2 linked regions of the Arabidopsis thaliana genome follow. The protein of the gene in region 1 purifies or fractionates together with the protein of each later gene. This does not show direct contact. Each region holds a gene or a part of one and is shown on either strand. Other genes may lie near its edges.

Region 1 (6,037 bases):
GTTTGGTTGATCTTTCCTCAAATTATATATGCATGCCTCAAAAATCCAATACATATTTTTTTCTTTCTTTCTCATAATTATTGTACTTGTGATATATAGATGAGCAAATTCTTCGTAAAAACCTCCGCAAAGACAGAAAATTATGAAACTGACAAGAGATTTGAAGATCTAATTTAGTATGATTTTAGAATTCAAATTAAGATTCATTGATTAAGACTAATCAATCAATTAATAAAAATGGATTTTGGATAAAACAAACCATCTATGTGATAAGATTATGAAAGATACATGTATGTAATTCCAAGGATTGATTTATGCGATTTATAAATGACGTCTAAATATTTGAAAACTATACAAAAGGAAATTTATGATACCTTGGATCTTATAATATGGTCGTGTTCTTGATGAGAATCATCGTGAGATGAATCAAGTTTTCTCATCTCATCATGGCTTTCTTCTCTTCCATGACCACTCCTCAAGAAATCGTCCTTCTCCATATTAGTCTTCTTTGATAAATTTTTTATTAGCTCTCATGTTTTCTCTTGGGAACTGTTGATTTCTATATATGCAACCTATACATCCTTTGACTATGCCAATTAAACAATTCACAAAAACATGCAAGTCTCCTATATTAATAATGTTCAGAGAACATGACATATTTCTATAATTTACAAAATTACCAAATATCTATCTTAAATAGAATGAAACATATAGTGCACATATAATATTAAATTAAGATTTAAAATTCAATTATAGTCTTGTAATTAGATAGTCTCGCTGTTTTGTTTTACGGTAGGTTGAAATTCCAAAATCAGAAATTAAATACTAGTTTATAAAGAGTTTTTGTAGACTATAAAATGTAAAAACATTGAACCAAGTGGTTGTACAATTATTCTATTTACTCATTTTATGCAGCAATGTTTCAAACCATGAGAAAAACAAGCACGCAACAATGAAATCTTGAAAGGTCAACAGCCAATCCAATTGAACAAAACAAATAAGTTAAAAATAACAATGTATACGACCAAATATGAATGGGATATTATAATATACTATTAATTGGTTTTTCTGCCCTTTAAACTAATACCAACACACGTACATAATAAAAACAACCATTGTGCATCCGATTTATTCGGAAAAAAGAAAGAAGAATATTGTTCGTGGATCGATAGTGTCGACTAATTGGAAAAGAAATATTGAACTTCAACGCTTAATGTTATAATAAAATAGCTATGTCTCAACAACAAACACTGTTATAAGGTTTGGAGCCGAAATTATGGACCCACCGGCCAACGTTGCTGCTAAAGAACAACGTTGAAATTTCTTGATCACATCGTTACAATTTTATCTCTCTTATCTTTTCATTTTCAAAATGATAAACTTCTAGTGGTAGCGACAGAACAAATGTCTAGATACAGGCCAATCCGCAAATGGATTACTATGGTTAATTAACAAGAGAATGAACCAAAATAGGTAATAGAAAGATCATTCCAAGAGATTTCTTGCTAATTTAAATAGTCTAATATAATTAATATTATAATTTAGCTAATTTATTCGTAGTATTTTTCGATAGCTGTTACTATATTACCTTTTAAGTCAATATAGCTTATCAATACATCGTTTTTTTTTTGGAAAACCAAACGTGTTTCGTCTTAGAGCTGATGTGTTTGTTTTGCCACTCGCGTACCGACGTACGTATCAATGTTAACTTATTAACAACAAATGAGACGACTGGTTGTTTTTCAAATGGCAAAGAATGACCAAATTCGGTTTTAGTTGCTCCATCGATCGTTCTAATTAAAGCATCAAATGAATTGTATTGGATCGGAATTATTATTTTATCTACTACTGGATCTGAATCTAAACGCAGAATAAAGTTTGGTATACAATATAATTAATGTATTGTGGAGCAGTGGAATTTTGATATTATTAATCAGCGGTTAGAAAAGACCTTGACTATAGATCGAAAATACTAATTACCAAGAAAAATATATATGACTCCAGCTATGATATACATGCGTTTACAAAAACGAGCACTCCAATATATGAACTTAAAGTCATACATTGGTGACATTACACAAATAAAATATCTTTATAATTAATAAAAGGTCAATTTTTGTTGAAGATTTATATTTCTGCAGATTTAATTATTGGTGAGTGCAAAACGTAATAAATATTTACACAAACCACTCAAATATATGCCATGATGTATGAGCAAAACTATAAATCTAGAACACAAAATAAATGGTCATATCTAATCAATCAGCTTACAATTTTTAAATTTTTTGTGGCTTCCCTACAAACAAAATTCCATAGGAAAGTTTAATCAATTTCAAGTTGTATATTTTATTTAGGTTTAGCGCAGTTTGTCTCTTTGTTTAACTAAGTCTTTTTTTTTTTTTTTGCCAAATGAATGGTACTTGGTACGTAGACTTGGCATCAAACTAGTAATATATGATATATGTGTTAATCATAAATATAACACTAGAGTTGTAATTAAATTTACCAACATAATCTTACGTTATATGAGTTTTAAACTAGAAACTAATTGACCATATATCATGATATATTTGATGAATTATCATGGACATATCACATGTGATTGATAATTTGATATTAACAAGTACATATTTAAATGGACCACGATCTAAGGCCTTTTGCTGGTTGCGTAGAGTTATGTATATGCCATTGACATTTTAGAATAAATAGTCAGCTTGTTGACTTGGTGTTTTATTATAGCACATCATGTCTTAACTACTTTAACTTTTCTCTTAAAATTGTTTAGAAACATTTTCTACAATTAGCAAAAGAAAAAAAAAAGGCCAGAAAAAAAAAAAATTCAGCTAAATTCGTCGATGCCCAAAATCCGATAACACCGTAATAAGTAAGAGAATACAGGGGTATATTTGGAAACAGATTAAAACGCAGAAAGTAGTGTTCCATTTACAAAACCCTAAACCCTAATTGCTCTCGCCTTCTTTTAGCTTTTCATCTTTACCTGTCTCTGCCCTTAACCTCACACAGATATCGAGTCTCGGCGATTGAAGTGAACTCTCATCCTTATAATTTCATCCGAAAGGTAAAATTTTGACAGCTCTAGTCGCTAAACCATTGTTGTTTAGGTCTCCTTGGAACTCTTCTGAATTTGCTTTTAGATTAGTTTACTCTTTTTGAGCCTTTGTTTGTGTAATCTTCGAATGGATTCATGGTTTTGCGTTAATGGGTTCTGTTTGTTATTACAGATTTTGGATAAAGTTTTGATTTTTTTGGTTCGCAATGACGCTGCTCGAAGCTATCTCCAACGCCGTAGCGAATCAGGACAAGGTCGACTCGCAATCCGATTATCCAATCCCTCTTAGCCACGATGGTATCTTTGCGAATCTGAAACCAAAGCTAGAAAACCCTAATCTTGGTACCCTTGTCAATCCAATTTCCGGGTGGGGAATCTCTGAAAGTGATGTTGAAGTCATCGATTTGGGTAAAAAGTTTTCATCTAAGCTGAAAAGGAAGCTTAAGGATACTAACGGGTTTGTCAAAGATGAGTTTGTCAAGATGTTAAAGCAGTTTCTTGAGAAAATTGGTGAGAAAGTTGGGATTTCAGAGGCTGAGTCTGAGATGGTTTTGGGAGATCAAGCTGGTTCTGAGATACAGATACTGGTGGAGAAAAATGGGTTTTTGATGGGTAGAGATGTATCTGGTTTAGTGTTGAAAGGTTGTATTAGTCTAGAGATGTGGGAGCTAGTGGAAATTTTGATTTCAAACTCCTTGGTTGATCATTCTTCATACTCTTATTTAGTTAGCAATCTTGTTGAGAAGCAAAGGTCAGATTTGCTTTGCGTAGTGATCAAAGAAGCTTCAGATCTTGGGGCAACTGAGCTACTTTCAATCTTGAAGTATTTTTTATGCCCATCAAAGGAAGCAATTAGCACTATGGCTAAGGTAAGAGAAGAATGGGAGAGTCAGGCTATGTTGGCTATTGAAAAGGTGAGCAACACAGAGCTATCAAAGAAGTCTAAAGTTGCAGAAGAGGCTTCTATCTTGTTAATGGTTGCTCATGACGGGTTTTCAACCTCAGAGCTTTGCCTGCATTACTTGTTAGCTTCACGGAATGTTGACGAAGTCATGTTTGCATCTGCAGTCAGTAAGTTGAATGGCAATGAGATGGGTAGCTTTATTCGATACCTCTCTAAATGGATGAAGAAGTATGAGATGTTCCCACAAGCTGGTCCATGCCCTAAAGCCGCCTCCAAGCTTGGTTTGAAACTATGCAACTGGGTTCCTGAACTCACAGACATTACCAAATGTTTGGGACTTCTTATCGATGAGAACTTCTCCACTCTGGTTCTGTACTCGGATTTGCATGAAGAGCTAAAGTCTATTGCAAGAGTAGCCGATGGGTTAGCTTCAGAATCAAAACTTTCCTGTTTTGTGGCTAATGTGGTTGAAAGTTTGAAGCTTGGAGCTGCCCGAAACTAGATTTTCACAATTGTTGGAGCTTAATGCAACCCTGTTTTCACTTTTTATTATGGTCTCCAGTGACATTTGTATTTTCTAGTTTCAGTTCATCTCTTAACTAAAGTATAATTTTGTTCGCTATCTTTGAGAGTTTGTCTCCAACCTCTGCACATTGCCAATCTCATTTAGGATGCACCACATGGTTTAAAATTGTTTTCTTTTCCAAGAATTCTTTATCAGTTACAACAGGAAGAGTAAAAGGTTTATCTTTGCAATACAACAGCTTACTTTGTTGAAGAATGAGCACAAGTTGTTGCTCAACGAAGTGTCTCACAGAGCCGGATAATAAAAACCGTTCCTTTATGAACACTCACGAGACCTTGCCGCAAAATCAAACGGCTAATGTATCATCACCACGAAAGTGAGGTACTCTCGCTGAGGTTGAAGAAGAAGAAGGGGCAAGAATGTAATTACATCCAGAAATGCTTCATAGTTACGCAGCTGAGTTATTACACTTGTTCACAAAGTAAGCTGCAGTCTGGGGACTACCCAACTCCTAACTTTCTTCACCTTCTTAAATTACCTATCTGTCAATTATCATCATTTCCCAATTGTGTTGATACTTAATTGGTAGTAGCAATTTTTTCCATTAAAGTTTTCATTTTTTTGGTTTTTTGTTGATGGAAAAAGTATTGATCCAACGGCTGTAGAAGAACGGTGCAACAAGATTTTGAATTCGGAGATGCGTTTGTTTTAGTTTTAAAATAGAAATAAATAAAGTTGTTCTCTCTCTCTCTTCGTGGACACTGGAACTAACACCACCGATGCACTACACTCTGTAGAGACTGCAAATGGAAAGCATCTTTTGGTAATCACGGGTACTGTTGTCTTCGTCTTAGTTTTTGTCGGAAATCAGACATTAGATCCGACCAGATTCTCTATTTGGAGACAGACATTACTCGGATCTTTATTTCATTTTGTATGATTCTTTATTGTAGATTTTGAGATCAGGTAGTGTGGATTTGAGATCAGGTACATTTACTTGCAAGGTGAGTTCCAGATCTGGTTTTGGTTATTTCATTTCTGGAGTTTTATACGTTTTTGCAATTTTGGAGATTTTGTTGATTTTAGATTAGGATGATCATTGCATTTTCTTTCTCTTTCTTGTTTGATTTCATTGGTTAATGATTGTGGATTACTACTATTTAATCTTTTTATAAAAAAATCCAAATCCTTAGCTCATGTACTTATAAAAGAATGATTTTATGTTTGATAGTGATCTATACATAGTTATAAACAAATGGCTGATCCATTGAACTTAGTATGATGAATCCTGTTACAAAGAGCTTATGTATCTCTTTAATGTCTAAAAGCTCTAGATAGAACCAAAATATGAAAATTGCAATCTTTAGTAATGAAAGTGTTGTGTTATAGTCTTGTGTTATTGCTTGACCATAATATTTTGTGATTGTTCGGACTAATGCAGGTGTTTTGAATTTTGGTTGTGGACATAATGGGAAAGCCTGCAAGGTGGTTAAAAAGTGTACTACTTGGAAAGAAACCATCTAAATCTAGTGGTTCT
Region 2 (5,614 bases), on another chromosome or scaffold:
TTCCCCGTGGATTTGTGGAGAATTCATCAATGGAGGAACCCAAAATCGCTCGTCGTCCAACTATTTGCTTCAGACCAATAAACCCTTCTGATTTAGAACGTTTGGAGCAAATCCATCGTGACATATTCCCAATCAGGTAAATAAATACCTTTGTTTTGGAAAGAATTTATATGTGATCTGGTTTTGGGATTTGACTTTCCGTTTTTTGGAAGTGTCTTATCAAAGCATTTGATTTTGTTCAGGTATGAGTCTGAGTTTTTTCAGAATGTTGTCAACGGAGGTGATATTGTCTCTTGGGCTGCTGTTGATCGGAGTCGCCCTGATGGTCATTCTGAGGAACTTATTGGATTTGTTACTGCCAAAATCGTACTTGCCAAAGAAAGCGAAGTGAGTTGCTTTGTGTTTTGTTCAAGTGTCTTCCTTTTTCATCGTCTTGTTCAAGTGTAGATTTCAAATGTCCGAAATGGGTTTCTTTCCACTGGAGAAAATAAAGCTTCAATTTGTAACGTTTCAAGTTATTTTTGAAGCTTGTTTTGAATGGTTTTTGGGTTTTGTAAAGAAGATGCAATGTCTTGTAAAGTGAAAATTTTGAATGTTTGAAACATTTTCTTAAAAATTTCTTAAAAATATAAACTTTCTACAATTTCAACAGCTTTTTCTAAGCTTTTAAGTTTTGGTTGGAGCTTCTTCAGTAGTAAAACATTGTCTTCTCTTTGTTCTTCGCCTTTTGGGTTTTGGTTCTGAAATTTCGAAATAACTTTATACAGCAAGTAACAAGTAATTGTGAAGTGTAGATTTTGAATGTTGTTGAACCATTTCACAATGTCTAATGGTTTAAGCGTGAATTTTAAAGCCATGTACATTAGATGGGTTTCTTACGAAAGTTCTAGAAAATCAAAAAGAGCCAGCCACTTTATTAACATCTTGATTATGATCCAAACTTGTTTTGTACTTGTTCGTTTAATGTTAAGAGTCATCAATGGCTGTTTCTTGGGTAATATGTTGATAGATTTTCTATGTCTTGTACAGATATCAGATCTAATAAGATATGACTCGTCGAAGGGAGAGGGGACATTGGTGTACATCCTAACACTTGGAGTTGTAGAAACATACAGAAAACGTGGAATCGGTATTGATTCTGACCCCATGTAGTAAACCAATGATATGGATATTTTGTTGATGGCTTGATGCTTCTCTTCTATTGCTTGGTTTTGTTAATATTAAGTTCTGCAACTTTTTTGTGCAGCTAAGGCACTTATTAACGAGGTCGTCAAATACTCTTCTGGTATCCCTGTGTGCCGTGGTGTTTACCTTCACGTGATTGCACACAACAATCCCGCAATCCGGTTGTACAAAAGAATGTCTTTCAGATGTGTAAGGAGGTTACACGGATTCTACTTAATCAACGGCCAGCATTTCGATTCTTACTTGTTCGTCTACTTTATCAACGGTTCTCGCTCTCCTTGCTCACCCTTGTATGTACAAAACACAAGTATTTTTTGCATTCTAAATTCTGTTTGCTGTGATGTTTCTTTGCGGTTTCTTCATAGATGGGGTTATCGCTGAATCATGGCTGCATTGCAGAGATCTTGCGGTGTTGGTTCTGAATTATATGAGGAGCGGAATCAAATCTTTCGCATCAAAGCTGACGGTGAACCACGATGAGAAAGGCTCGAAATGGCTTAAAAGCAAAGACAACACGCGGTGTCTCTTGCCCACTCAGACTAAACGAAACCTTGCATCGGAAAGAGTATCATCCGGGTATGATTACGTATAGTGTCCGTCTCCCATTCATAGACTTTGTAAAATCATTCATTTTAATGTCTTCCATTAAGCTCTGGTTGTGATCCTATTGTGTGTGTTCGTGTAGAATAATAATGTGATAAAAATGTAAATATTGTGATGTGATAGTTGAAGACAACTCTTTGGGACGGAGGGTTCAATCCACTGTTAGTCTTATTGTCTTAAATTAGTTAGCTTGTTGAAAAAATTAGCTTTGTGCTTTATGGCGTGAAAACTAGCATAAGCTCATATAATTTACTTAAAATTACAAAAACAAACCCCAATACTTTTTTCGAGAAACCAGATCCTTCTTCAATTCTGATCATGAACAGCTTTTGGCTCTAATTGGGGCTAATTCACATGACATGGAATTAACTAGAGATGTTTAAACAGATTTAAAAAAAAAAAAACAAACCAGACCAATTTTCTGGGTTAGTAACAAATTTCAGTTCACCACTGTGAATGCTTAAATTGTAATTTAAAAAACAATAGGGATTAGGTATATAATAAATGAAAGTTAACGAGCAAACTGTGAAGAACGAGGGAAAGGGGAAGAAGGAACGGAAACATAGAATTAGGGTTCACAGTGCATCAGAGAATCATAATTTCTCTGTTTCGGATTTTTAATCGTACAAGAGGTGAATTGATATTGGGTTCGGTTCGGTTCAAGTAAGTTAAATATTCTCTTTTTCGCCGATTATTTATTGGGTCAATCTCACTATAATTTCGGTTCACTGAAAATTTGAGAAACAGAAGTTGTCCTATAACGATTTTGACGATGAGAAGAATAAATCGAATTCTATGAAACTTTTGCTTAATTACTAGTTCGAATGTTATGAATTCCCGTGAATGAGTATTCAAAAAGGACCTTAGTGTGTTCTCATTGTTTTGAGCAGTTTTTAGCTTACATAGATTTATTTGTTTGGTTTAAGATAATGCTTTGTCAGAATTATGCGAAGCCTAGCCTAGCTTATTATGAATTGTGTTTGTTCTGCAGATTTGAATAATATTAGACTCTAGTAGTTAAGATGTCAGTGAGAGCTAGGAGGATTGTTTCGGGTAGATCAGAGACTGTAGCAGCTAATTATGCTTTCGATCCGTTACATGATGACAAAATTATAAGAAATAGGCTTCTCACACGCACGACCACCACCAGAGGCGAACCTCCATTGAAGAAGCTTCAGAAGAAATTCACTTCTTTTGTTATTGAACTAGACAAAGAAGAAGATAACTACAGTGAGTGTGGTAGGCTCGCGAAAGCTTTCTTGCAAGAACTCTCTGCGTTTGAGATTCCGCTTCTTAAGAGCCAAGTAGTTGTCGCTGCAAATCTTAGGGAGAAAGAGAACTTTAACGAGCTTAAAGATGAGACGAATAGGCAGATAATGCAGGCACAAGCTGATATAGAAGATCTTAAGAAACAGCTTGAGGAGAGTAAGATAGAGAGACAACAGAAAGAGGAGTGTGAAGCCATTAGGAAACTTATCTCTGCGCAGCCACCGAGGTCAGAGACGCAGAAGGTTATACATGAATTGAAGAAGGAGATTGCAGAACTCGAGGCTGAGAATACAGCAAGTTGGAGACTTCTTGAACTAAGGAAGAAGCAGTTTGCATTGTTGTTGCATGTGGTATGTCGATTTTACGGGTTTCGTTGTGTTTTTATAGCTAAGATTCTAAACAAGATTTCGCCTTTCTCGTGTTTCTTTATGTTTACAGCTAAATCCTAACCTTTTTGGTTTTGTGAAAACTTTTATGTATAGGTGGATGAGTTGCAGGAGACAATGGAGGATGAACAGAAGAGTATGGTGGAAGAAATGCAGAGGAACATTACCGCTGATGGCGCTGAAGCCATGTCCATCGATTAGCTCCTAATCTTAGCAACTTTGTCTTCCTCTTGAATGCTAAAGAAACAAACCTTTCATTGATAAGAAGAATCTGTTTTATAAATTTCTGGTTTCTTCTGGTTGCCTCATAACCAAAATTGCTATGAAAATAAGGATATGTATGTTTCATTTTAACTCGCAGATTCAAAAAAAATAATGGCAGATCTTCTCGAGGTTTTGAGGACTATGTGAACCGGAAAGGTCAGGAGAAAGTGATTTATTTGACTAAACCAAGTTTGGTAATGATTCATCAGGAAAATAACCGGTCCAGAAAATTCAACCGACTAAGATTTATTCCCGTACCAAAGAATTTGCTTTTAAACCGGACTAATATATATACAGTACACGTATATCTTCTCTATTTTGCAAAATCGTTCTCCTCTCTTCGCCACCAGAGAGTCTCTCCGTCTCTTTCCACGGCGAGTTTGCGATCGTCCGCGGTTTGCTGTTTGTCGTCATCTCTCTCGTTTGAAGCATTCTTTTCTAAATTCTTCGCAGTTGCTAGGTCTTTATCTTCTAAACCTTACTATTCGTCGGTGTGCTTTCGCAATTTATCTCTAAACCCTCGGAAATTTCTCCTGCAATTCTGAGCTCTTTGTTCGTCGATCCGAATATTCAGTACTTTCCATTGAAGGTTTGATCTAGAGGTAATTCGAATCGGAATTTGATCAACCTTTGTTTTCTTTGATATTTCGTTTCAGATGTTTGCTTCTTCTTTTTTCCGATGAATTTCGAATCGCTTGACCTTGTTCCGTTTTCCGTTTATCCTCCAAAGTCTGAATATGTTTATAGCTAGCTAGATTCAGGATTTGATTTTACCTTATTTCCCCAATAATAATGAAATCCTTCTTAGGTTAGGGTTTTTGTGTTTTTGTGTTTTGTCACTAGTTTTGAAACCGAAAATTGTCATCAAGTGTGCAAGTACTTTGTCAGAGTAATGCCAATATAATAGTTTTGTTATTCTCATCTTGCTCGGCTGTAGTTTTGCTACCATTGTAATTGTTGTTACTGAGTAACTCCTTTTTCTGTGGTTAGGTCTTGACTAAAGTTCTTGAAAATGGAAGTGGAGAAGTCTAAATCAAGGCATGAAATCAGGGAAGAGAGGGCTGACTACGAGGGTTCGCCTGTTAGAGAACACAGAGATGGAAGGAGGAAAGAGAAGGATCATAGGAGCAAGGATAAAGAAAAGGACTATGATCGAGAAAAGATCAGGGATAAGGACCACCGCAGGGATAAGGAGAAAGAGAGAGACCGAAAAAGAAGTAGAGATGAGGACACTGAGAAGGAGATCTCTAGAGGTAGAGATAAAGAGAGGGAGAAAGATAAGAGTAGAGATCGGGTTAAAGAAAAGGACAAGGAAAAGGAAAGAAATAGACATAAAGATAGAGAAAATGAGAGGGATAACGAGAAGGAAAAAGACAAGGATAGGGCAAGAGTCAAGGAGAGAGCGAGTAAGAAAAGTCATGAAGATGATGACGAGACTCATAAAGCTGCAGAAAGATATGAACATTCTGACAACAGAGGTCTGAATGAAGGTGGCGATAATGTTGATGCTGCATCAAGTGGGAAAGAAGCATCTGCGTTGGACCTTCAGAATCGCATTTTGAAGTAAGTGATTCTCATATGTTATATGAAATCTAGAATTATAGGTAGTACAGGAATTAAAAGTTTGTGTTTTCTTCCTTAGGATGAGAGAGGAAAGAAAGAAGAAAGCTGAAGATGCTTCTGATGCTCTATCATGGGTTGCAAGGAGCCGTAAGATTGAGGAAAAACGAAATGCTGAGAAGCAAAGAGCACAGCAGCTCTCGAGAATTTTTGAGGAGCAGGTATTACCTCCATTCCTTGAACATCTTATATCCTTTTATTTCTTCATAACTTCCTTTTATCTGACATTTTAATAAATATATCTTATCTCATATTTGTTCAGGACAATCTTAATCAAGGTGAAAATG

The links. Proteins that work in one complex are often made in the same cells at the same time.
Region 2: the proteins of AT1G18850 (region 1) and THO7 fractionate together in Arabidopsis thaliana (co-fractionation; one large-scale study listed by BioGRID). This does not show direct contact.

The regions. Positions count from the first base shown.
Region 1 is NC_003070.9:6,503,367-6,509,403, reverse strand, and holds AT1G18850 (uncharacterized protein), read left to right. Parts: upstream 1-2,861; 5' UTR 2,862-3,079; intron 3,080-3,242; 5' UTR 3,243-3,276; coding exon 3,277-4,476; 3' UTR 4,477-4,727; downstream 4,728-6,037. Other genes in the region: WRKY61 (WRKY DNA-binding protein 61), read right to left, coding at 375-497; IQD30 (IQ-domain 30), read left to right, coding at 5,969-6,037.
Region 2 is NC_003076.8:5,520,672-5,526,285, reverse strand, and holds THO7 (Tho complex subunit 7/Mft1p), read left to right. Parts: upstream 1-2,274; 5' UTR 2,275-2,451; exon of another isoform or gene 2,452-2,779; 5' UTR 2,780-2,810; coding exon 2,811-3,407; intron 3,408-3,539; coding exon 3,540-3,644; 3' UTR 3,645-3,869; downstream 3,870-5,614. Other genes in the region: AT5G16800 (Acyl-CoA N-acyltransferases (NAT) superfamily protein), read left to right, coding at 1-136, 243-387, 1,030-1,129, 1,247-1,450, 1,551-1,777; DOT2 (SART-1 family), read left to right, coding at 4,720-5,270, 5,350-5,488, 5,590-5,614.